Saccharomyces cerevisiae S288C: one gene and its partners. Changing the gene in region 4 together with the main gene of any one other region gives a genetic interaction. Each region holds a gene or a part of one and is shown on either strand. Other genes may lie near its edges.

Evidence for each region.
Region 1: mutations in SLX5 (region 4) and SRS2 impair growth when combined (synthetic growth defect), as found in Saccharomyces cerevisiae (6 studies listed by BioGRID, with this or other methods).
Region 2: mutations in SLX5 (region 4) and ELG1 together harm fitness more than expected from each alone (negative genetic interaction), as found in Saccharomyces cerevisiae (8 studies listed by BioGRID, with this or other methods).
Region 3: mutations in SLX5 (region 4) and CTF8 together harm fitness more than expected from each alone (negative genetic interaction), as found in Saccharomyces cerevisiae (5 studies listed by BioGRID, with this or other methods).

What each region holds. Positions count from the first base shown.
Region 1 is NC_001142.9:255,820-265,698, reverse strand, and holds SRS2 (DNA helicase SRS2), read right to left. Parts: upstream 8,277-9,879; coding exon 4,752-8,276; downstream 1-4,751. Other genes in the region: protein kinase activating protein DPB11, read left to right, coding at 648-2,942; GWT1 (glucosaminyl-phosphotidylinositol O-acyltransferase), read left to right, coding at 3,147-4,619; TOK1 (Tok1p), read left to right, coding at 8,887-9,879. UniProt on the Saccharomyces cerevisiae protein: ATP-dependent DNA helicase involved in DNA repair at least for UV-induced lesions. The polarity of the helicase activity was determined to be 3' to 5'.
Region 2 is NC_001147.6:602,217-606,988, forward strand, and holds ELG1 (Elg1p), read right to left. Parts: upstream 2,877-4,772; coding exon 501-2,876; downstream 1-500. Other genes in the region: THI80 (thiamine diphosphokinase), read right to left, coding at 1-126; PNO1 (Pno1p), read right to left, coding at 3,131-3,955; MDM32 (Mdm32p), read left to right, coding at 4,391-4,772.
Region 3 is NC_001140.6:484,867-488,521, forward strand, and holds CTF8 (Ctf8p), read right to left. Parts: upstream 1,766-3,655; coding exon 1,364-1,765; downstream 1-1,363. Other genes in the region: ERG9 (bifunctional farnesyl-diphosphate farnesyltransferase/squalene synthase), read left to right, coding at 1-1,313; LNP1 (Lnp1p), read left to right, coding at 1,960-2,796; EGD2 (Egd2p), read right to left, coding at 2,846-3,370. UniProt on the Saccharomyces cerevisiae protein: Essential for the fidelity of chromosome transmission. Required for the DNA replication block checkpoint.
Region 4 is NC_001136.10:425,418-433,674, reverse strand, and holds SLX5 (SUMO-targeted ubiquitin ligase complex subunit SLX5), read right to left. Parts: upstream 4,609-8,257; coding exon 2,749-4,608; downstream 1-2,748. Other genes in the region: APC11 (anaphase promoting complex subunit 11), read right to left, coding at 1-178; YDL009C (uncharacterized protein), read left to right, coding at 427-750; glutathione-disulfide reductase GRX6, read right to left, coding at 650-1,345; YDL012C (uncharacterized protein), read left to right, coding at 2,158-2,202, 2,289-2,567; rRNA methyltransferase NOP1, read right to left, coding at 5,328-6,311; trans-2-enoyl-CoA reductase (NADPH) TSC13, read left to right, coding at 6,741-7,673; serine/threonine protein kinase CDC7, read right to left, coding at 7,943-8,257. UniProt on the Saccharomyces cerevisiae protein: Component of the SUMO-targeted ubiquitin ligase (STUbL) complex SLX5/SLX8 that mediates ubiquitination and subsequent desumoylation of sumoylated proteins and proteins containing SUMO-like domains for their degradation.

The DNA of each region.
Region 1 (9,879 bases), on a different chromosome or scaffold from region 4:
TCTGAGATCACGCCCTTAAATTTAGCCGCCAAAACACCGGTCGAACGGCGAAAATGGATCGGAGTCTTGATTGCACCCACACCTCGCATTTTGTGCACTAACATAAAATATGACGAAGTGAGAGTCATGACACACAGAATAACTTAAAAATACTTGAGGAAAAAGTTCTCATATTATGAGGTCATAATAACTACATCGTTATTGTTGCGATATAACTTCAATGTTTTCTGCCTGCAAAAGAATCCTTCCTTTTCCTTCTTTAATTGAAGAGTCCATGTAACCTTGTTTCGTTACTTATATTTATTCACCTTTCTACTTTAGTCACATAACGTAATCTGGGCATAATCATTGAGGTATCATTATTAGCTTGAACTCGTGGTTCCTATTGTCGCCAGGTTTCTTTCAACGCATTTGCTCTTTCCGCTTCGCATACGGCGGTGATCAAATGCAAAACTTACCCTCATCAGTATAAGAGAAGAAAAACTGCATGGACTATTCGCGTATTGCCTGGTAAAGCTATATAGTACTATTGGTAATGTTTGTACTGTTTTATGTACATGATGAATAAGAAGAGACAAATTTTACGTGATATATAAGTCTTCTATTTCTAGTATGGCAGGTATTTTATCAGTAGCATTAATATTACTATGAAGCCCTTTCAAGGAATAACATTTTGTCCGACTGCAATAAATAATGAAATCTTAGCTAAAAAAATATCAAAGAAAATTATTAAGTTAGGAGGTATATTTTCTAAAGATTTGACCAGACAAGTTAATGTCCTTGTTGTTGGGTCCACCACCAATACAAACAAATTTAAATTTGCGGTGAAGCATAGATTCGATATCATATTTATTGACATTCAAGCCATTGATGACATTTATCAGCTCTGGCTGTCTGGAGAAAATATATTGCCGGACTCTAATACGGCAACAATGACAGGATCCACCTATGAGATGCTGAAGATACTTTACCGGCGATTTTCGTTTAAATATTTGCATAACTTCAATATCTTCATTGGCAGAATAACCGACACTAACATAACTTCCATCGATTCATTGGTTAGGAGTATTAAAAAGTTAGGGTGTTCTAGTTATAACTATCAAAACTTTGTAATCAAAGATACCTCTTCACACAATGATGACGATGATCAAGGTCAGAATGGGCAGATATCCATTTTTGTTACGGATACTTTACTAGGAGCAAGAGTTAACGCTGCTATTGAACAAAATATACCTATTGTACATTTCAAATGGATTCTCGATTGCCAAAAAAGAAGCGCACTGTTACCGTACGATCCCTATTATCTTTTACCAAATATTAAAGACCTGCCCTATGATTCAATCGGATCAAACTCTTGCGATTGCTGGGATAAAATAAACACCACCTTTCCAACCAATATCGATGCCCAATCCTCTCTGCAGCGGCAGCAATCCTCCAGTACCCTGACTCCTTCGCTCCCGAAAACATCATCCCTCTTGAATAAATTTAAACCAAAGGGTGAAAAAATATGGGACAAGGCAATGTCTCTACAGCAGCATAGTAAGACAAATTTTTCAGTACTAGGGCAGTCACCATTATCGATAAATAACAAACAAGAAGATTTAAGTGATAATAGTACTTTGATTTTCAAAAATTGTGCGTTTATCATTCATCATATTTTTCCTGGCAATCACCGTTCAATACTAACCAAAATTGTTGTTCAAAATGGGGGTAAAATTGAGACGTCTTACTTGAGCGGCATTTACGATCATTCTTATTACATCATTCCAAGTAATAAAGCTCTTGACTCCTTCAATGATTTACCTGAGATTATAGATGATAATGATGGTATAGTTACAGAATTTTTCATTGAACGCTGCTTGTATTATCAAAAATTACTACACCCAATAGATTTATGGTCAAAACCCTTCCTCAGCACAATAGAGTTTCAAGTTTCGTCTTCTTCAAAGTTATTGCATCATGAATTTTCTTCTTCCCCTTTTCTGAATGTTACTATCACTGGATTCTCTGGCGTAGAGCTGTTACATCTGACTAAAGTATTAAATCTTCTAAAACCAATGGGCATCAATTATGTAGAATACCTCAATAAATCCACTGACATTCTGCTAATCAACTTAGCAGCTTTACCCAGTATCCCGAAAACCCATCCGTTATGGTCGAATGAATTTAGCGATCTTTTTACTCAGTTTTGCATTAATAACAATAATGATGATCCTGGTGATAATAACAGAAAAGATTTTCAAAATAATTCAATCTTGAGAAATTCGATGAAAAGGAAAATTGAATATATCAAGAAATTCCACTCCATACCGGTAGTTACTCCAGCATTTATTTTTAAATTATTGTCCGCTGCATCTGGAGAAAATAATGAAATCTTTTTAAACAATATCAAGTGGTGTATTATCTGCCCAAGAGGACACAAGGACGATTTTAAATGTAAGATAAAAAAACCATACTATACCAGCATTAGTTCAGAAAAAAAGTACCAAAACAATGATCCAAAAATCGACAAAACTATTCTTTTGAAAAGAAACAATTCCTCATTATCGGAGCACTCTATGAAAGATACCAAAAACGAATTATTGCAGAAAATTAGAGAAACTGATTCTGGAAGAAAAAAGCGTAGTGTCTCATCGAGTATCATGGATGTTTCTTCAGAGAGACAAATGCCGGATACGAAAAGGATCAAGTTGGAGTCACTGCCAAAAAATTTCGTTCCTAAACAAATTAAACGAACCACGAGTTGGGGCACAATAATGTCAGAAAATGTGCCTACAGAGCAGCCGACTGCAATTTCTAATCCAGAAGAGATCCCAAGAACTGAGGAAGTTTCACATACTCAAGTTACCTATGGCTCCATTCAAGATAAGAAACGTACTGCCTCTTTAGAAAAACCTATGAGACGACAGACAAGAAATCAGACAAAGGAATTAGATTCTTGAAATGTAGTCCGTAATTTTATAAGATATTCATTTACATACGCCATCTACAGCATTATTCAAATCTACTCATCTATATGTATTACCGTTTTGTATGATAATACTTTCCATGACATGCTCGCGTGAAAAAACAGCATGAGAAAAAGAGGATCGCAATAAGAAGACACGTAAATATCTAAATAAATGGCAACAGTACATCAGAAGAATATGTCGACTTTAAAACAGAGAAAAGAGGACTTTGTGACAGGGCTCAATGGCGGTTCTATAACAGAAATTAACGCAGTGACATCAATTGCTTTGGTAACTTACATATCATGGAACTTATTGAAAAATTCCAACCTTATGCCTCCTGGCATTTCCAGCGTGCAATACATAATTGATTTTGCATTGAACTGGGTTGCTTTGCTTCTATCTATTACTATTTATGCTAGTGAACCATACCTTCTAAACACGCTAATACTGTTACCTTGTTTGCTCGCATTCATATATGGAAAATTTACTAGCTCGAGTAAACCTTCTAATCCAATATACAATAAAAAAAAAATGATTACACAGCGGTTCCAACTAGAAAAAAAGCCGTATATTACTGCGTATCGTGGTGGGATGCTTATTCTGACTGCTATTGCCATCTTGGCTGTAGATTTTCCAATTTTCCCAAGGAGGTTTGCCAAGGTGGAAACTTGGGGGACATCCCTGATGGATCTTGGTGTAGGATCATTCGTTTTCAGTAACGGTATTGTTTCTTCTAGGGCACTGTTGAAAAACCTAAGCTTGAAGAGTAAACCCAGCTTCTTAAAAAATGCATTTAATGCCTTAAAATCAGGAGGAACTCTATTGTTCCTAGGATTGCTGAGGTTGTTTTTTGTAAAAAATTTGGAATATCAAGAACATGTCACAGAATATGGGGTTCATTGGAATTTTTTTATCACCCTATCATTGTTGCCACTTGTATTGACCTTTATTGATCCCGTCACAAGAATGGTTCCACGCTGCTCAATTGCAATATTCATTTCATGCATTTATGAATGGCTACTTTTAAAGGACGATCGCACTTTAAACTTTTTAATTTTGGCTGATAGAAATTGTTTCTTCAGTGCTAATAGAGAAGGCATCTTCTCATTTCTAGGTTATTGCTCGATTTTTCTTTGGGGCCAAAACACGGGATTTTACTTGTTGGGAAATAAACCAACTTTAAACAATCTTTATAAGCCTTCTACGCAAGACGTAGTTGCAGCATCAAAGAAGTCTTCGACTTGGGACTATTGGACTTCAGTAACCCCATTAAGTGGCCTCTGTATATGGAGTACAATTTTTCTTGTTATCAGCCAGTTGGTTTTTCAATACCATCCTTATAGTGTTTCAAGAAGGTTTGCTAACTTACCATATACTTTGTGGGTCATTACTTATAATTTACTATTTTTGACTGGGTACTGCTTGACTGACAAAATTTTCGGTAATTCTTCGGAATATTATAAAGTTGCCGAATGCTTGGAATCAATCAACTCCAATGGGTTGTTTTTATTTTTGTTGGCAAATGTCTCTACTGGTTTAGTCAATATGTCTATGGTCACGATAGATTCTTCACCCTTAAAATCATTCCTGGTTTTGTTGGCATACTGCTCATTCATAGCTGTCATATCGGTTTTCTTGTATAGAAAAAGAATATTCATTAAGCTATAATAACACACCATCCACATTTCCATGTAGTTCGTATACAAACCCTACCAGTAAAATAAAATTAACTCCTATGTGCTTTAAATAAAAATTATAAACCGCCTCCAATAGTTGACGTAGTCAGGCATGAAAGTGCTACTAATCGATGACTATGATTTCACCGTTGTTTAATTTTGACTTTTTTTTCGCACGTGACAGCTGAGAAAATATATCCATTTGACTTGATGCAGGTTCATTCTTCACCTTTTTGGAAAATTTCTGTGTCTTTTTCATTGCTGCGTCAGCCAAAAACTTAGCATTGGAGATTATTGGACGATTGTCAACTGTAGTGTCATCCGGATTATGTAATAACTCAGCAGCTGTTGTATTTCTGCTGTCATCTTCCTCAAATTCACTCTTCAAATCTATCACTTCCTCCACCTTAACCTTGTCACCTCTCTTAGACTTTCTATTTCGAGTTTTTGGTTTTATTTTTTTCGTCTTTTTCGAGCCCAAAAGCTCTCTCCTCCTTTCTATTGATATGTCATTTAATAACTCCTCATCGGATAGATCTAATTCGTTGTTTATATCTTCTATTAAGTTCGTTGGCTGATCAGAATTACTGCACGCGCTAGAAAACCCAGAAAATTCACTCGACGTAAGCGACTGCCCTGATTTATTGGAGTATTCCGGAGGATGCAGTTCATCAACATTTGACTGGGTTTCTATTCTGAAAGTTCCTGCAGTTGCGAAATGAATATTACGAGTAACTTTGTCCTTCCTCGTAGGTGATGGTCTCATTAAATCATCTGACATGTGGCTCGTCTTATTTGGAGATGCTCCTTTTAACGACCTCGTTGATGATCGTGGTGATATGTCTGTGATGGACCTATCTTCTCTTCTCAGAAAAGGAATATTTTTCCCAGTAGAAGAATGAAACTCCTGCCTACTAGGTACATTAGTTGTTGAAACGTATTGAGGTGCATACACCTTTTTCTTTGTAGGAGAATGGAATGATGTAGTTTCTGGAGCGTACCTTTTTTCTGGACTTTTAACTCTACTTTTAGGAGCGTAATTGCCATTGATTTTGGATGGGCGTGATTTTTCAATAAGTTTCTTCTGTGGGAATATAGAGTTTTGCGTTTCGAGTCGTAACTGGTCCGCAGCTGACGTGAAATCACTAACAGAACCCAATAATTTATTTCTAGACAACTGTATTCCATAGACATCATTCATTTGTATCCCTTGCCAAATCATCCTTTCTCTCCTATTTTCAATGAATTGGTTATAGTCTTTGCGCAATTGGTCAAGGGAGAATAGTTTATCATCTTCAGCAGGCGGCTTTTTGTTCAAAATTCGGTATAGTTTTTTGATACTATTCGTACTTTCAAATAATTTTTGGCTATCGGACATGGCTTTTATCAAGTCAGTAGTCAAAAATCGGCTTGCAATTCTTGGTCTATCGACATCTTCCACAGTTACAGTATTTGATAGGTACAACAGGTATTTTGCACGAGTCTGTGCAACAAAAAACATTCTTCTTTCCTCATCTATAGAATCTTCCACGGATAAAACTCTAGTCTTTTTTGGGCTTGCATCTTTCTTACTATTTTCTTGATCTTCTTCTTCGTCCTCCTCTGATTCGTCTTTCTTATCATCGTTGAACACACAAGGAATTATACCTTCTTCGCATCCAGGAATAAAAACTACCGGCCACTCAAGACCTTTGGCACCGTGAATTGTAGATATCGTGACAAACCCATTCTTCTCACGTTTTATTTTTGCATCTTTATTGGATTCCGACTCTTCCTCCTCAGCTGCATCAGAATGAAGGGAAAGTGAATTGAAGAAATTACGGAGGTATTCTTTTGGAGTGATGACCTTGTTCTCTATTGGTTCGGCTTCATCTGTTGCTGCTTTAATGGCTTCATTTTTTTCTTTATCTGAAGATTCTGACTTGGAAAGAAGAGCCAGGAAATAGTTTTTCAAAAGTTCAATATTCTTATGTCTTGCGTTTAATAAATTAGGTTCGGATTTTTCAAGCTGATCATTTTTTTTCTTACCATCCTTGTACAAGTATTCGTATTTCAGACCTGATAATTCATATAGCTTATCAAATAAATCTGAAAGACCCCCTAGTAAAGTGCTCTGGAGCAACAATTGACAATTTTCTATCATTGAAATGAAGTCAGCAATCACAGAACGGCCTTTCGTCGGTATGTCTAGCATTATTTTTTTACTACTTATGTCTTTCAATATTTGGAAACATGACACATCGGTAGCTAACGTGTCCAATGCGTTCTTAATCTTCTCACCGGTAGCAGGACCAAGGCCCCTTGCTGGATATAAAAGTGAAGCAAGAATTGCATGTTTGTCATTCGGAGAAAATATCAATTTTAATAAATTTAACATCGCTCTTGTTTCCTTGGAATCCCAGAAACTGTGGCCCCTAATAATTTTATAGGGTATCCGATGTTCTATTAATGCACTTTCGATCCTTTTAATTTGTCTTCGTTGTCTTACTAGGATAGCAAAGTCATTAAATGTGAATAGGTTTGGCAATGCCTTCAAATATAGTAGTTCCCGAACTAAAGAAGGTGCTTCCAAAAAGTAAGCGGGGAAATTCATGTAAACTGGTGGAAAATCCAGGTCAAATTGGGCACGGAGTGGAGCCCTATTCTGCCGACCTTTGTTTTGTTGCGTTATTAAAATTTCGCTTGTATTTAGAATTTTTTGTGATGAACGATAATTTTCAACAAGTATGATAGTTGAGTACTCGATGGGACATTTTCTGCCCATTTCTAGAAAGTTGTGCGCTAAGGCGTTTCTGAAAGCATATATGCTTTGATCAGGATCACCTACGATGGTCATCCCCCTCGAAAGATGATGATTTCCCTTAGCAAAAAGAAACATCAAGTCCAATTGAATGCCGTTAGTATCTTGAAATTCGTCAACTAAAACATGCTTTATGTTGGATAAAACACGCACTCTAGTCAGCAAACGAAAGGTGTACATTAATAAGTCATCAAAATCTAACGTATTTTTCTTGCTTAGCTCTGATTGGTATATTTGGTAAAAGTAACCAAGCGCGGCGTCATGATTCGAATCTAAGATGTATTCCTCAGGTAATATTGCGTTTGATTTTAGCTTTGATATCTGTTTCTTGATCAGCTTCGGATGAATAGTCCATTCATCTCCATTTTTACTCGGCATACAAAGATTTACTTTCCTTGTGATTGAGGAAGCATAATCCCTTATTTGGTCGGGAACTTTTTCGATCATATCATCTAAAATGACATCTATTTCCTTCTCATCAATAATTCTCCAGTCTTTCTGTAGATCCACCAAGTGGCCAAATCTATAAAGTATTTTCAGGCAAATACTATGAAAAGTACCAATTAAGAGCTCCGAAATATTCACGCCTGCCCCGCGTAACATTTCTTGCAAACGCTCTTTCATTTCGTTAGCAGCTTTGTTAGTGAAAGTAGTCACTATAATATCGCGGGGATGAATATGGTGGTGCAGAATAAGATACGCTACTCTTGAAGTTAAAACCTTAGTCTTCCCTGTGCCGGGACCGGCAATGACCTGCAGCCCTCTAGTGTAATCAAAGAGGGCCGCTGCTCTCTGTTGAGTATTTAACTGGGATACTAAATGCAACCAAAGATCATTGTTCGACGACATTTGCTATCCCTAAGTACCGGTAGAAGAAAGATCAAATTGGAATGATACTCAAAGTGCAGAGTACAATTATGGATGGCAAAAGAAACTAGAGGGACAGGAAGCTGTCTAAAAGCTGTAGAGAAATATTCTTATCTTGCCGACTGCAAATTTATCGAGACTCTGCGAAGGTAGCCTAAGCAGTAGTATCAGGATAGCTGGAGGTAACTCTAAACTCGCTCCTATTCTTCTTCAGCATCGTTCTAATTGTTGTCACTTTTGTTTGTTTTGGTTTTTTTGGGAGTTTTTCGCATTCGCGTCTCGTTACCCTAGCATGTTTTAAGCGGCGCTATCATTATGGTTGAAGAGAAAGTTGTAGTTTATCAACAGTTAGATACTTGATATACAATACGAAGCAGTGGTTGTGTATACAAGTGAAGTACTCAATGTAATATACATTACCTGAGTACTCAGTACCATCTTGGTTATTCAATATGGCAAAAATGCCTGACCCTATGTATCTTTTTCCATCAAAAATAGCCGCATCTCGTAGATCGTGAGCAGATGTCTTCACTCCTTTCTAGCAGTATAACAAAGCATATTTCTTGTATTTATTTTACCGATTTCTATATATATGACAAGGTTCATGAACAGCTTTGCCAAACAAACGCTGGGATATGGCAATATGGCGACAGTGGAGCAAGAGAGCTCAGCTCAGGCTGTTGATTCTCATTCAAACAACACACCGAAGCAAGCTAAGGGTGTTCTTGCAGAGGAACTAAAGGATGCATTGCGGTTCCGGGACGAAAGAGTTAGTATTATTAATGCAGAGCCTTCTTCAACACTGTTCGTCTTTTGGTTTGTGGTTTCATGCTATTTCCCTGTGATTACTGCCTGCTTGGGTCCCGTAGCTAACACTATCTCGATAGCCTGTGTAGTTGAAAAATGGAGATCCTTAAAGAACAACTCCGTGGTGACAAATCCACGAAGCAATGACACCGATGTTTTGATGAATCAAGTAAAGACAGTTTTTGATCCTCCTGGTATTTTTGCCGTTAATATCATCTCTTTGGTACTGGGTTTTACGTCAAATATTATACTAATGCTACATTTCAGTAAGAAGTTGACGTATCTTAAATCTCAGTTAATAAATATAACAGGATGGACAATAGCTGGAGGGATGCTTTTGGTGGACGTGATTGTATGCTCCTTGAATGACATGCCCAGCATCTACAGTAAGACTATCGGATTTTGGTTTGCCTGTATCAGTTCTGGTCTATATTTGGTATGCACCATTATTTTAACAATACATTTTATTGGATATAAATTAGGAAAATATCCTCCAACGTTCAACCTTTTGCCCAATGAAAGAAGTATCATGGCATACACTGTACTATTGTCTTTATGGTTGATTTGGGGTGCGGGTATGTTTAGCGGTTTATTGCACATCACTTACGGAAATGCATTATATTTCTGCACGGTATCATTATTAACCGTGGGACTAGGTGACATCCTGCCCAAGTCGGTTGGCGCCAAAATCATGGTTTTAATCTTTTCGCTATCTGGTGTTGTCTTGATGGGTTTAATAGTGTTTATGACAAGATCCATCATTCAAAAGTCCTCTGGC
Region 2 (4,772 bases), on a different chromosome or scaffold from region 4:
GAGTAGGGTAGAGTTTTCATCCTCGTTTGGATGGATTAGTTCTTTTAAGTTCATTTTATTTCGGATGTTGATTAAATCAGTACCAATTTTAATACGTTCAGGATTTTCAATACACTCCTCGCTCATAGCAGTGATATTCAGCTTTTTATTGTTCTTTGTGACCAATTGTGATCTACAAATTTCTAGCTTTTATCAAAACCACAGTACTTAAGAAGCTAAATCTTTTATAAACGCCTTATCATTCACGCTTTATTTGTAATTCCCATCAGCCATTTTTTTTCAAGTTTTCGCATATTTTGCATTTTTCGCTGTTTTGAAATATGCACTATGAGGAAATAAAGGCAACTATTAGAAGGAATTTAGGATTGTGCTGCATTTGCTTAATGCAAGGTTGCAGAATTTATTGATATATAAAGTAGTAGTATATTTCCCCGCACTACCATGCTATATTTATTATACATACGTGTTCCTGTAACGATGCACGCAATTTCATATCAGTGTTATTTGTTCTTTGAAAAGCCTGAGTGCAAATGCTCCCATTTTCTCACGACTATGCTCGGATCAGCGTTGAACCATACGTTTTTCAAGACACCCTCTTGTGACAACTGATAGACCAAATCTTTGTATCGTCTTTCTGATACATTTTCACTATGCAACTCAAATATTTGTTTGTTTTCATTCTTGACATTGGCGTCACTTTTAGCGATTTCAAAAACGAAGGGATTGATCTCCGCTTTAATTTGTTGAGTTGTGGCGCTCAGCAGATCAATCTCGGCATTTTCGTTCAGAGTTTCATCATTATAAATTCCTTTGAATTGGTTCAAAATATCAGAAATTTTCTTCGAATTTCTCGTCCTTCTTGCCGACTGAAGATGGTCATACTTCGGTATTCTTGACGCCAAAAAATTTAATGTAGATTCTGTCATTTTTTTGAACCTGTTAACAAGGTATTCGTTATCAAGCCTATGGTTTGCTTCTCTAACATAGGAATACCGAGCTTCCAATTGTTCTTGGATGTGTTGGTAAATATTCAATTCAAACGGTAATAACGGTTGTCTATTGGGGTCATTTAAATGCAATTTATAATCTATCACGTAATCAAATTTTAGTTTCATTTCATCATCCAGATTTTGATCCTGGAAAGTATTAACTTTTTCTGGGGTCATTGTGGTAGAATCTATTTCTTGTCTAACCATGGAACGATTGAGCGTTGCTTGACCAATAACATCATTTATGGAGAGTAGATCAGTTAATTGCGATATATCTTTAACGCTTGAACCAAGAGTTGATGTTAGGACCGGTAGTCTGTTCTTGGATGAAATCAAATCAGCCTCAGTATCAACGCACCAAAACTGCAAGTGCATCAAGCACTTCCTAATATCCGCATTATTTTGTTTTACAACATCGCGAAGCCAGTCGTCACAAACTTCGATTTCAAGGGACTTTAAATATTTTGTTAGAAACGCATAGACTGTGGATGTACTAATTTTCTTAGTATGAAACAAAGAGTTTTGTTCACTTGCCAAGGCAATAAGTTCACTAGGAACTAGTGACAAATCCTTACAAGTCAATACGAGGGGCCTTCGTGAAAATTCACAAAGCTTGCTGATCATTGCCCAATATCCCCTATCATGTTCTTTAAATAAAACATCAACATCATTAAATAAAACAAGCCCGTAGTCACTTTTCCTTTTTGAGGAATCTTTGACATAGTGTGTGGTGGTAAAATCTAGTAGGATATCAAGCAAATCTTTTTTGCTCCTGTTCATGTTTGAATTAACTTCATATATCTGGTAAGAATTATCGTCGCCAGCAATCTCTCTCATGATTGTCTGTATCAGCGTTTTCTTGCCTATTGAATTTCCGTGTAATATCATTAGTGGAACAAATTCGCTCAAGCTGCTATTTGCTTCGCCATTTCTGTAGAAATCTGGACGCAAGTTTTCGTCTTCTTCGAGATCAGGTACAATGAAGTTGGCAAGCTCATCACCAGATCCCTGTTGTTTATTGGGATTTATTCTGTTCAATAGACGGTTCCTCAAGGTAGGCTTTTCTAGCGTATGAAAGGATGTTTCAATCCAATTTTTGATTCGAAGTTTCAATTTGGGTTCAATTAATACTTGTTTTAAAGTGACAGGCTTGAATAGCTGCGGCCATGTGAGAGTTGTATTTCTTTTAATATTTGTGCCAAGTAATACCGGTGCTTGATAGCGAACAGGAATACAAGATGCTGAATTCTTGTCTTTCAACGATTCATAGTCACTAGGAAGAAAATTATGATTTAATGGCGGTATTGTGCGGAAAGGAAGCGGGATATCAACACTCCGATCTGACAGCTCTTTGTCACCTACTGGGAAAATCGATTGATGTAATGGTAATGGTGGCTCTATTTCATTTAGTTTAGAGATGCTATTTAATCTTTTGAACGTGTCGGTTGTCTCATGTTTAAGGAAGTTTTTAATCTTTGATGCTCTTTCATTAAGAAGCGATGATTTGATTCTCGATGTGGAAATTATAGAAATATCATCTTCATGCTCCTGCGAAAGTGCAATTTTGCTACAATTAGTCTCACTTTTGGGACTCTTATCACTGATTACAATAAGATCATCATCGTCGTCATCGCATTTTTCTTTTGTGCGTTTCGTCATCAAAAACTCCTTTGCAGATTTGTGATTAGTAGAAACAGCTTCAATTGGCTTCACAACAGAGTGGTTTAAAAATATTACTGAAGAATCGTCATGTTTGGCTGTTCTGGCGTCAAAAGTGCCTGATTCAGTATCATTTTCGTCATCGATGGTAATCTGTAGAGCATCTTGTCTTCTCACTTTTCTCTTATTTCCTGTCAATATATCAGATAAAGACACGTGCCTTTTCATTGGAAAACCTTCTCTGATTCAAAAAGTTTAATGCTATGGTACCATACGATTTAGTGCAGCGAAGGTGGTCAGTGAAGACGTTAAATACATGAAGCAAATAGCCGGATAATAATACTAAACTAATTTATCACCGCTAACGTTACGCGTTTGGCGTCCTAAAAAAAAGAAGGAAAAAAAAACCTATTTATTCACTCTATTTCGCCATAAAACGACATATAAATATTATACAGATGATGAAAGCCCACAAATTATGTTTAGTAGCGTTCTTTTAATCTAGATGCAACGGTACGTAAGTTCCCATAAACTTTACCTGGAGGGGAACCCAAAATTAAACTAACCACAGATTCTCTTGCCATTCTGATGTGGGTGAACCCGCCCAAAATGTGGATTTTAGAGTCAGCTAAGACAATTCTTGTTCTTGTAGCGTTTTCAATCGCAAATTTCGTTTTACCGTCTTTACCGGCAATACGACCGATGGCTCTCGACAAATGGTCACCTGTTAGAGTCTTGACATCTTTGACTTCAAAAGTCTCAATATATAAATCATCTAGCCTCAATAGTGCGATAGAATCGTCAAGATCAAACCCTAAGGTAAAGGCTTTGATAAAATCGGCCCCTTTTTGCAACGCACCAGGGTCTGTGGTAAATTTAGGATTCGTTCTTAGTTCTACGGATTTGGTCTTTAAATTCATTCTGACTTGCAGCTTCAAGTGCTCGACCAAAGGAGGATAAATTTTTGTCCAACTGTTCCTCAAGGGTGTCATTCTGTGTGGTGGAACCATGATCTTTCTCGATTCAAATTTTATTTTGTTACCCTGTGTTTTGCTAGCTGAAGTGAAGCGAGGTTTCCCCTGGTCATCAACCACTACGGTCTTAGATTCGTGCGTTTTCCGGCTACCTTCTTCGCCCTCTACCTCTTCTTTTGCTGTGTTATTGTCGGAATCATCTAACAGAACGTCGTCATCATCGTCCTCATCGATGCTTTCGGTATTATTTATTCCTATAATTCTACTACTGCCCCCATCTTGTCCACTTACAGGTGTCACAGTAGCCTTTTTCAAAGCAGTAGGCGCAACCATAATGTAGTTTATTTTCACTTCAAGTCTTTTTCTTAACTAAACAGAAGAATATTGAAAACTGCCTATTATTGATGCAATATGTATCTTTCATTGTGATGAGCATCGGTATGATAATAAGGAAAGAAGAAAAATTTTTTCCCGCTCGCACTTTCCGTAAGAGGTGATAAAAAACAGACCTAATACTGTAGTAATCTTAACTGCATTTAGCCCTACATTTATTATTTATGACCTTACTCTTCATATGTAGGTTAAAAAATTCGTATAAAGACACATTTGACTTTTTGTCACTTTTTTTTACTTCTCGTTATTGGTTCTAGCTGATCCTTGACTTACTATGGAGGGATGCATATTAAAGTTGACAGTAGATTTGCGTCAAGAAGTATTAAAACAAAAGGCACATACAGATTATCAGGTGGTGGGAGGTTTATAAAATTCATGCTAATCACACGTTTACGGGTCCCTACAATAAAGCGGCCACTGCTTCCAATTACAAGTCATCTCGTAAGACACTGTATTCGAACTTACGTCGCAACTAATCATGGAAATGTCAGACCTTTTATAACACCTTACAAGAGTTCGTTACCTGTTAGATGTTTGATCGCCCAAAGGCACATCCGAACATTTCCAAGCAATGACAAGTTCACTACCAAGGCTTCCAATATTGAGACTATTTTGCTGAGAAAAAATAATGAGCGAGAGTTCAAGCAATCGCTTCTAGCAGATGCAAAGAATTTTCAAGAAAGGTTCAAAATCAATCTAAAGTGGATTCTTATTAAAAACAACAGGCCGTTCTCTCTGAATGAAATAAGTATTATAG
Region 3 (3,655 bases), on a different chromosome or scaffold from region 4:
CATTGCATCCGGTCGAGATGAAGGCAGCTTTGAAGCTGAAGTTTTGCAGAACACCGCTATTCTCCATCTATGATCAGTCCACGTCTCCATATCTCTTGCACTGTTTCGAACTGTTGAACTTGACCTCCAGATCGTTTGCTGCTGTGATCAGAGAGCTGCATCCAGAATTGAGAAACTGTGTTACTCTCTTTTATTTGATTTTAAGGGCTTTGGATACCATCGAAGACGATATGTCCATCGAACACGATTTGAAAATTGACTTGTTGCGTCACTTCCACGAGAAATTGTTGTTAACTAAATGGAGTTTCGACGGAAATGCCCCCGATGTGAAGGACAGAGCCGTTTTGACAGATTTCGAATCGATTCTTATTGAATTCCACAAATTGAAACCAGAATATCAAGAAGTCATCAAGGAGATCACCGAGAAAATGGGTAATGGTATGGCCGACTACATCTTAGATGAAAATTACAACTTGAATGGGTTGCAAACCGTCCACGACTACGACGTGTACTGTCACTACGTAGCTGGTTTGGTCGGTGATGGTTTGACCCGTTTGATTGTCATTGCCAAGTTTGCCAACGAATCTTTGTATTCTAATGAGCAATTGTATGAAAGCATGGGTCTTTTCCTACAAAAAACCAACATCATCAGAGATTACAATGAAGATTTGGTCGATGGTAGATCCTTCTGGCCCAAGGAAATCTGGTCACAATACGCTCCTCAGTTGAAGGACTTCATGAAACCTGAAAACGAACAACTGGGGTTGGACTGTATAAACCACCTCGTCTTAAACGCATTGAGTCATGTTATCGATGTGTTGACTTATTTGGCCGGTATCCACGAGCAATCCACTTTCCAATTTTGTGCCATTCCCCAAGTTATGGCCATTGCAACCTTGGCTTTGGTATTCAACAACCGTGAAGTGCTACATGGCAATGTAAAGATTCGTAAGGGTACTACCTGCTATTTAATTTTGAAATCAAGGACTTTGCGTGGCTGTGTCGAGATTTTTGACTATTACTTACGTGATATCAAATCTAAATTGGCTGTGCAAGATCCAAATTTCTTAAAATTGAACATTCAAATCTCCAAGATCGAACAGTTTATGGAAGAAATGTACCAGGATAAATTACCTCCTAACGTGAAGCCAAATGAAACTCCAATTTTCTTGAAAGTTAAAGAAAGATCCAGATACGATGATGAATTGGTTCCAACCCAACAAGAAGAAGAGTACAAGTTCAATATGGTTTTATCTATCATCTTGTCCGTTCTTCTTGGGTTTTATTATATATACACTTTACACAGAGCGTGAAGTCTGCGCCAAATAACATAAACAAACAACTCCGAACAATAACTAAGTACTTACATAATAGGTAGAGGCCTATCCTTAAAGATAACCTTATATTTCATTACATCAACTAATTCGACCTTATTATCTTTCGAATTGAAATGCATTATACCCATCGGTACGTCTAGCTTTGTCACCTTCCCCAGTAAACGCTGTTTCTTGCCGACAAACAATGTGGCCCTCTCTCCGTCAATCTGTAACGACCCAAATCGTATTAAAGTTTCGCCGTCCTGTTCACTGAACCTTCCCTCATTTGGAGAATCTCTCCTCGCCAGCGACGCAAAGTCCTTAGGCAACTCTAGTTCACCTTGAATCTCCAGCATCATCATCCCAAGCGGTGTTATCACCGTGGTCTGCTTTTCTCTTGACTGTGTCAACTTCTGCCATTGACTAGCATCTATATCTACACTAGGCATTCTTTTCAGCTGTTTATTGGGCTGAATGATAGTGATAATTCTTTTTTCTATCACTCCTTTGGCTATATTAGTGGTTAGCTTACTAAAAAAGATTAAAGGAAAAATGAAATTCAAGATGCTAACGTTGACATGTATATTTTAAGAAAACAAAAATCATACAAAGAGGAGATCGGATATAAAAGAATAACATAAATATGTTTAGTGCATTAGGTAAATGGGTCCGAGGCTCTCGCAATGATAAGGACTTTGTGACGAAGTATACCGCAGATTTATCACAAATAACTTCACAGATCCATCAATTAGATGTCGCGTTAAAGAAAAGCCAATCCATCTTGAGTCAATGGCAATCAAATCTGACCTTTTATGGTATTGCGTTAACGGTATTGGCCCTGAGCTACACATATTGGGAGTACCATGGTTATCGACCATACCTTGTGGTGACTGCGCTACTATGCATAGGCTCGCTAATCTTGTTCAAATGGGCATTAACCAAACTCTATGCATTTTATAACAACAATAGGTTACGCAAGTTGGCAAAACTCCGTGCAATTCATCAAAAGAAACTGGAAAAGTTAAAGGAAGAGACCCACTATAATGCTACAAGCTCAATCATCCAACGGTTTTCTTCCGGTGAAGATCAAAACGACGATGCCATGGTACTTCTAGATGATGAATTAAATGCTAAATACCAAGAATTAAACAATCTAAAGACAGAGCTAGAAAAATTTAAGAAGGAAAGCCATGTAAAGGGCCTAAAGAAGGAAGACAGCGATGCATGGTTCGACAAAATCATCAGCGTACTGGCAGGCGGTAATGAATTGGACTCAACAAGTTCGCTCTCTCCCTTCAAAAAAATCATATGTCCACAGTGTCATTGGAAATCCAATTGCTACAGATTGGCCAGTAAGCCAATCATCTTTATCTGTCCTCACTGTAACCACAAAATAGACGAAGTAAAGGAAAGAGAAGACGCCATTGAAGCAAAACAACCGGCACAGCCTTCGCAGTCGGAGAAGGAAAAAACAAAATGATTTTGCGTTAGAATAACTACGTACCCCTATATAATATATTTTTATATCATTATTTAGACAAGGACATGATAGCGTTGACTAAGTCACCATTGTGAGCTTTCAGGGCTTTGATGGCTTGGTTTTTGGAAACGTTAGTTTGTTGAACGACTAACTCGATATCATCCTTATTCAAGTCACCGGCATCAACTTCACCTTCTTCGTCATCTTCTTCTGCTGCGGCGTTGACACTGCCTTCTGCGGCGGCTTGCATGTCAGCTTGGATGTCTTCTGGGGACTTGGTAGCGACGTCTTCGTTAGATGGCATAATACCGCTAGCTTGAGCTTGTTGTTGAGCAGCGGCTAGCTTTTGGGTAAAGTTGTCAACCTTAGCTTCACCGAAGACAACGTAGTTACCACCGGCAGATCTGAAGACTTCTGGCTTTTCAATAGCATAGATTTGGTTGTCCTTCTTCCTGAAAGTGACTCTGATGATACCTGGGATTTGCTTCAAACCCAATTTGCCAATCAATTCTCTGGCTTTCTTTTCGTTCTTGTTTAAGACGGTAACGTTGGCGTTTTCTGGGATAGCAGACATTATCAATTGAGTATGTGGGTGTGTGGTTGCTTGTAAGGGTTGCTCCCAGAAGGAGACTTTACCTTAGTTCTTGTTTAAAATAATCCTTTTCATTCAACTTTTTGTCATTTTTTTCTTCGGCGATGAAAAATTTTCAAAAAAAAAAACAGACCTAACAAAAGGGCAAAAGACCTATTATACTATATGACCGAAAAAACTTACGCCCTATTAAATAAAGAAGAAACCTAAAGAAGATAAACTAAAAACCCTTCTAATATTAGGTCACAATAATTGAAATTTCACTGC
Region 4 (8,257 bases):
CGCCTGGAAATTTACAGCTTGGACAGGTACCGTTATAACTGGCACGACAGATACCACAGACATCCTCGTCTTCATCATTGCCAATTGGATCGTTATTGGCTGCGTCCTCATCAGATGTGCTAGGGATGTGCCATGACCAAGCAAACACACTGTGCACTTCGTTTATTTTAACTTTCATATTTTTATAATCTGTATTGCCACTTTGCTTGTTAAACTCTCCCGATATTGTACAAAGTTTTTGAAGAATGCATTATTTTTTTATCTGCAGACACGGAAGATACAAAAGTTATCTCGGCAGCTTACCCTTTATATCGAATGCAGGCGTAGACAAAAGTGCGTTGCATAACTTACCAAGGTGAAGTGCATGGACCAGCAAAGGATAGAAGTTATTGTAAACATCGAAACCATAAACTTATATATGTATATATGAAGGCATTAAGCGTTTTATGTTTTCACAACCCTTTTAAGAGATGTCTTGGACAAAAAAGCTTCTTCGTTGGTGATAGCTTCTTTATTCCAACTCCGAAACGCCTTGTGCTAGGAAAACTACGCCTTTCCAACTACACTGCATTTCACGACCTAATCATTCACGACCTCTTTATTTATATATTTATTCTTAATTTTTTCTTCTTTCCTTTTTGTAACAATTTCAATTATTGGAAGGTTTTTCACGTTGCTCAACCGAGAATTTACCATCACTCCAGACTTGTAATGATTCTAAAAGTTTCCCTTGAGTGTGCAGTTTCTTGATTTCTTCATTACCTCCTCTTGATACTCCATTAACCAAAAGGTTTGGAACAGTTCCTCTACCGGTCACCAACTTGATATATTCTTGCAGCTCTTCCCCATGTCCATGTTTGTCAAGTTCTATAATATAGTAGTTTGGGATAAACTGATACTCATTTTCAAGCAGTTCCTTCATGCCCTTGCTATATGAACAGGTGCTTTTACTAAATATTATAATCGGAGACAAGTCTAGTATGAGGGAGTATTCTTTTTGAACATTAAAAGCTTTGGTTATTCGCGACCCTTTATCGTTTTTAATGGCCGACAAACTATCATCAACCGATGCTATGGGCTGTTGGAGTCCCACCTTCTGTTTTATTTCATTAATTTCTTCGTCTACTTCAGAGCTCCCCTTATTCGTGGTAGAAGTCGGCATAGCAGCATATTCCCTGGAAGATCCTCCAGCCATATTGTCCATATTAGTACTAAATGCTTTAGAAGTTTCCTCTTTTATCTCTACCGTCAAGAAGTTCGCATTTTGCGCTACGAAAAACACTAACAACAATAATAGCGTTGTAATGCTTAAAATTCTAGCATTTCTCTTATTGGAAGGTATCATAATAAAATTGTTTCTATATTAAACCGCTAGGTTGCTAAGGTTTCGTCTTTTCTATCTTACGATAATTTGCTTAAAAGTTCATTTAGAGAATAGATAGTGATCTTTCCCAGTATAATGTTTTCCCGATTTCGCGAACGCTCCGCCTCAGGCGCCCCGGGACGCGTCATGCGCGTTCCAGAAAGTTAACTAACTGCTAGTGCATTCAATTTCTCAAGGCGTAGTATTTGGGATCTATAAAGCCTTCGACATTAAGCACTATGCTTAAAAGCGAACAGCCTGCGCCACTACTTAAGAGCGAATCTTGTGTGGAGGGATGACTAGGTCCAAAGAGGGAGAAAAGGATCTTGCGGAAAAGTCAACAACACTAATCGGTAGCTGAGTCTGTCAGTGCATCCTTACTGGCTTACTATTTTCATTCATGCTGCAAGTAGATTATCCTCTAGTTAAATTAAACGCGGATGAACTACGCCATTAAATCCATCATAAGAAACTAATTACTACTTTTAGGAAATTAGCCAACTAAAAACTGCTGAAACGCCACATTTCACATAAAACCCCACGGAGCAGTAATGGGAGATCTTAAGCTCAGCCCAGTACATATGTCCATCAGCCTTGAATAGCCACGGTGAGTTCTCGAAGCTTCCTTCCACCTAGTCCAGAATATTTCTTGGTAAATGGCTCGAAGTTTTCGTATTAAACGATGCTATCAGCGGCATCGTGAAATATTGAAATATAAAAAGTATTTACGCAACCGAAAAGGATATTAAGACAAACCCATACAATAGCCCATAAACCAAGCAAATACACATCTCATGTCAGCTCAAGATTATTACGGAAACTCTGCCTCCAAACAAAGCGTACGTTAATTTTACAAGTTTTGCCTTTAGAAGATCACATCGTACTAACGAGCCCTTGTATTTTCATTACATCACTTTCGATTCAGTATTCTCGTCCTAGCGCTCCACCACCAGGATATGAAACGGCGTCTAGAGGTTACGCTCCATCGCAAAGCCAACAGAACTATTATCCACCTCAACAGCAGCAGCAGCAGTATCAGCAACAACCTCAATACTATCAGCAACAGCAGCCCCAATATTACCAACAACACCCACAGCAGCCCATTTATGTCCAACAACAACCGGCCAGTTCTGGAAATGAAGACTGTCTAGCGGGCTGTCTAGCGGGTTTATGTTTATGCTGTACTTTGGATATGCTGTTTTAGAGTATCTCCATATCTTGTGGGAGCAAACCCTTTCACACAAATCCACTATATAAAACAAAGCACAATTGCACCTCTGATCTTTTAATCTTAATTAAATAAGCGTGATTAAAGTGTTCATGCAAGTAGATAATATATAATGATGATAAGTTCGAAAATGCCCTTATAAAAATTAAACCGCGTGCTAGAAGTAAACCTCCTTCAACCTGCCTCTTGAACGAATAAGCTTCTTACAAGAATCTGCGGGACATAATTTGGGGCCATAATTATCCGGATGAGCCGAACCCTTTAGTTGAGCTAGTTTCTTTTTGGGCATCTTAGATTTTTTTTTTGCATTGTCAATCCTGGCGAAACACCTACCACAAAATGCATGACCACACGATGCAATAAACGTTCGTTTTGATAAATCTCTATCAAGCATTGATGGTCTGGCTAGGGTTTGGTAGGGGCAGTGGAATTTGTATTTTGACACTAACCCTTCAAATGAAACACCACGATCCTTTTGACTGATTCCAGTAAAATCATCCGGTATTCCGACCCCCAATTCTGCGCCACACAAGCAACAAACAGGAATATCCTCGAGTGTTTTTGCTAAATCGTCATCTGTCACAATGATGGTTTCTTCTTTACCATTTTTCGTAATGTCTAATTTCATTTTTGGCGTAGTATCAAATGACGCGCTATAACCTTCGGGTAGGCTGGCTGCCCTAGCTTCGAATTCTTCCTGTTGGGCTCTGGTTTTGTTCATTAGATTCTTCATGACCACATCCCGCTCTCGTTCTTCTCTCTCTTGGATCATATCAATGATATTTTGAGTGTGTCGTTCCTCGTCAGCATCGCTCAATGCTGGGCCACTCCACAAACGACTTAAGAACCCATCCTCTCCATTGAAATTAAGATAGTTTGTGATTGATTCACGTAATGTGCCACGATGGAAAACTCTTCCTGCCGTTCTTTCTTGTCTTTCCAATGCTTCTCGGTGAAGTCTCAAGGCCTCTTCCTGAGTATTTCTGACCCTATCAATGGCCCAATTCTGCAGCAGTTGATTTCTGAACTCAGTGAAGAGTGCCATTAGTTCTTCTTCACATTCTTGCAAAGTAATTGGAGCAACATTTTGTAAAATAGACCTGAATTCATGCAGTGACTCTGCACGATGAAAAGCACTACGAATATCAGGCGTATATGATTGTATTCGTTCCCTGATTGATTGTAACCTAATAGATGTACTTATATTTTCGTCACTGGACACCCTTTGCTGTTGTACCCTACGTTGTCTTTCTGCAATCCGTCTGCTCATTCGCATACGGCTCTCCCTACGAGCCCTTTGAATAGCTTCTGGTAAATTATGGGTATCATCTGTCCAATCTTCATCGTTTTCATCAGACCGGTCCACAAATAAATTACGGGCTCTTGTAGCACTCCTTCTCAGTAACTGCCTGCGTGATGCGCCTAGATCTTCTTGGAATTCAAATGACCTTCTTATCGGTATGTCTGTTGTCGTCGCAGTTACCTCAAGCCTCTCCCCGCCTGGCAGGTTCAGTGTCACTCTGGGTCGTGTTGTTCTCTCTTCAACTATTGTCAGGCCATCATCACTTTCATTGTTATTACCATTATCATTCAAGTACCCGTTTGTGTTATCTACTTGTATTGTTCTTGGAGTTTCTAACGTTTCAGAACCTGGCTCCTGATCAAGATCGACGTAATGTGCAGAAGGATCAATAGGTCCATCGTCTCCAAAAAACCGTCCAACTTCTCGTATTATAGTGATATCGTCGTTATTAGCTTGAAAATCAGGGCGCTCAGAGCTTGCTGTTATGTGAGTCCGTTGAGAATTCCTGCTCCTTGAATCTGACCTCACAAACCTATTTAAAGCATCACGTCGTCTCCCTACCCGTCTGTCTGGGTACAACCTCACAGGAAGGTTAGCCTCGCGAATAGAAGCGTCTTCTTCCTTATCACTATCTATTAATATAACTGTCTCATTTGGATTATTGTCTGATGGGCTATTATTGCTCTTTGTTCGACCGTTAGTATCGCTATGCATTCTATTATTTCGACTATTAGAGGAGCTCCGCGTTCCAAATAATAATTTTTGGACTGAAATCTTTTCAAAAGTTCACTCCTAGACTGAAGCTCCTAGTGCAAATTTCGACTTGGTTATTACCAATCAACGCAACACACGCTCTTCTTAATGATTAAGTCTTCGTTTTGGTCGCACACTGCCTCTCATCCATGTTAAATAGTAAATATTGCGACCTTGCGTATACAGTGATGTTTCTTATGGGCAAAGCCAAAAAAAAAAAAATACGTAAGAGTGACAGATGAAGAAGTGACACTTTGAACAAAAGACTCTATCAAAATTTTTTCAGATTCAATCCAAGGATAAAGAGAAATCTATGATGTAGTGTTACAAGAATTAATGATATATGGTCATCAAACAGTGTCGAGACTGGAGAACAGCTTATCGATATTGTTCCTACCTTTAAAAAACTCGAAATATGATTATGATTTCTACTTGCTTGCTCTTAACAATTAATGACCAAAAAGTCACCACATATACTCTTTTTTTTTTATATGGCGAATACGTACAATACTTTTGTTCTCTAAAAGAATTTAGTAATATCTATTTTACAAAGTCGAGGGTTACAAAAACTTCAAATAGGAAGTGAAACTGAATGGGGGAAATATATATAAACGAAACAATTATTCTGCTAATAATTGAGCAAGCTACCAGAAACTTTTGACTAATTTCCTTTATTCAACTTATTTCTTCAAACCGCTTCTCATGTATCTACCAACGACGATACAATGGTCTCTTTCATATGGCTCTAAAGTCAATTGTTCTAATGGCTTAATACGTTCCTCACGTAACTTTTGAACTTCTCTAGCAAAAACGGTTTCCGCGTCTACAGTAGAATCAATACAGTTAGCCTTAATGGAGATAACAACACCACCTTGGTCCTTCAAGAACATATGAGAGTTCAATGCAATAATACGAGCTTGATCAGGCTGGGCAACATCTGCGAAGACACAGTCAACCATACCAATCAACATTCTGTATTTTTGTGGGTGTCTAGCATCTTCAATGATTGGGATGATATTAGGTCTCTTCTTTGCCATAGAAATCAATTCTCTGCCTGGTCTGTGAGAAAATTCTACGGCGTAGACAACACCTTCTGGACCAACAACATCTGAAACGTGAGAAACAGAAGTACCGGAAGCAGCACCTAAATATAAAACTTTCTTGCCTGGGGCAATAAATAATTCATCTAGACCACCCATAATACCGGCAGCCAACTTAGATCTGAATGGGTTCCATACACGGTATTCGACCTTGGTTGGTGGGACACCATCTTCCTTAGATGGTTCTTCAACGGAGATTCTCTTTTCACCATAAACTGATTCACCTGGGGCCATGTTCTTGGTAACTAGCAAATCTTCTTTACCTCTAGCAATGTAAACACCGGCATGTCTATGTGGTTCAATAACGACCTTGGCACCACCACGGGCACCACCAGCAGCGCCACCTCTACCACCTCTGGAGCCACCACGGGCACCACCACGAGAACCGCCTCTACCACCGAAGCCGCCTCTGGAACCACCACGGGCACCACCACGAGAACCGCCTCTACCACCGAAGCCACCTCTGGAACCACCGCGAGCACCACCACGGGAACCGCCTCTACCACCGAAGCCACCTCTGGAACCTCCACGGGAACCACCTCTGCTACCTGGTCTGAATGACATTACTGTTTTAGTTGATTTGAGTTAATTTGATCGGAGTTATTGAAAGCAATGGGCAACTTAGATTTATCCGATGAATGATATCTAATTGTTTCTCGAAGAATAACTTATATAACAGTAGTATACCGATGTAAGGAAAACTTCTTGGCTATGTAAAACTTTTTGAAAGTTAGAGGAAGAAAGTATTATACATTCAAGAGAGATGAGCTTTCCAATTTGAAAAATTTTTCAAGAAAAAGAAAAAATTTGAAAAAAAAAAAAGAAAAATATAATAAACATATCATTTTGTACGCAAAAAGTTAAGGAATTATGAAAAGGGACTAAGAGCGTGAATTTTACAGAACGGAGGACAGTAAGATTATATTCTATTTAGCTATCTAGAAACCAATTGAGCTATTTGAGAGAGATACATATTTTGAATTTAATTTGAAAATGCCTATCACCATAAAAAGCCGCTCTAAAGGGTTAAGGGACACTGAAATTGACTTATCCAAAAAGCCTACTTTAGATGATGTTTTGAAAAAAATCTCTGCTAATAACCACAATATCAGCAAGTACAGGATAAGATTAACCTACAAAAAGGAATCTAAACAAGTTCCGGTTATTTCAGAATCGTTTTTTCAAGAAGAGGCTGATGACTCAATGGAATTCTTCATCAAAGATTTGGGTCCCCAAATTTCATGGAGATTAGTCTTCTTTTGTGAGTATTTGGGTCCAGTCTTGGTTCACTCCCTTTTTTATTATCTATCTACCATTCCCACAGTTGTTGATAGATGGCACAGTGCTAGCTCCGACTATAATCCATTTTTAAACAGGGTTGCATATTTTTTAATTTTAGGACATTATGGAAAGAGATTATTTGAAACCTTATTTGTTCACCAATTCTCTTTAGCTACTATGCCAATTTTCAACCTGTTCAAAAATTGTTTCCATTACTGGGTTCTAAGCGGTCTCATTTCATTCGGTTACTTTGGCTACGGCTTCCCCTTTGGGAATGCTAAGTTATTCAAATACTATTCATATTTGAAATTGGATGACTTGAGTACATTAATTGGTCTTTTCGTGCTTTCAGAACTATGGAACTTTTATTGCCACATTAAATTGCGCCTATGGGGTGACTATCAAAAGAAGCATGGTAACGCTAAGATCCGTGTCCCATTGAATCAAGGTATTTTCAATCTTTTTGTTGCTCCCAACTATACTTTTGAAGTTTGGTCTTGGATTTGGTTTACTTTTGTGTTCAAGTTCAATTTATTTGCCGTTTTATTTTTGACTGTTTCAACAGCTCAAATGTACGCATGGGCTCAAAAGAAAAACAAAAAGTATCATACCAGAAGAGCATTCTTGATTCCATTTGTATTTTGATCCTCCTGTTTGCAACATGCCCAAATGCAAGGTAAAGAGATATTAGCTTTCACGAAGTGGCGTAGTAGCACTATTGTTTAAGTATCGTCTGCACCTGTGCCTTTTGGTATTTGGCACTATCTTAAGCGCATGCCACCAATTATGCTAAACCGTTTCACTTTAAGAAATTTTTATTTAAATCTTTCACTATGCAAATATGTAAGTACTTTTAAAATTCTCTTTCCAAAGAAAAGGAAATTATTTCAGACTAGCAGTAATTTATCACTTTGCTATTCAGATATTAGGAGAACATCCTTATCGAGCAAATCTGCCTCGCTTGAGCTGACAACGTCATCTTCGTCAGTACTCTCGCCATCCAGTAAATATGTGTTTTCATTCAATTCATTGAAAAACGGGGTTTTCAGTAAATCTTCTGCTGAACTACGCTTTTGAGGATCCATTTCGAAGCATTGTTCCAAAACCTGGAAGCACCAATAATGATCGGACCAAATTTCTTCTTGATACTTTTTCAACTCATAGGCATCAACAGCATCCATATTTGTCTTGGGGTCAGGTAATTGAGGTTCAATGGACATCCTGTCATG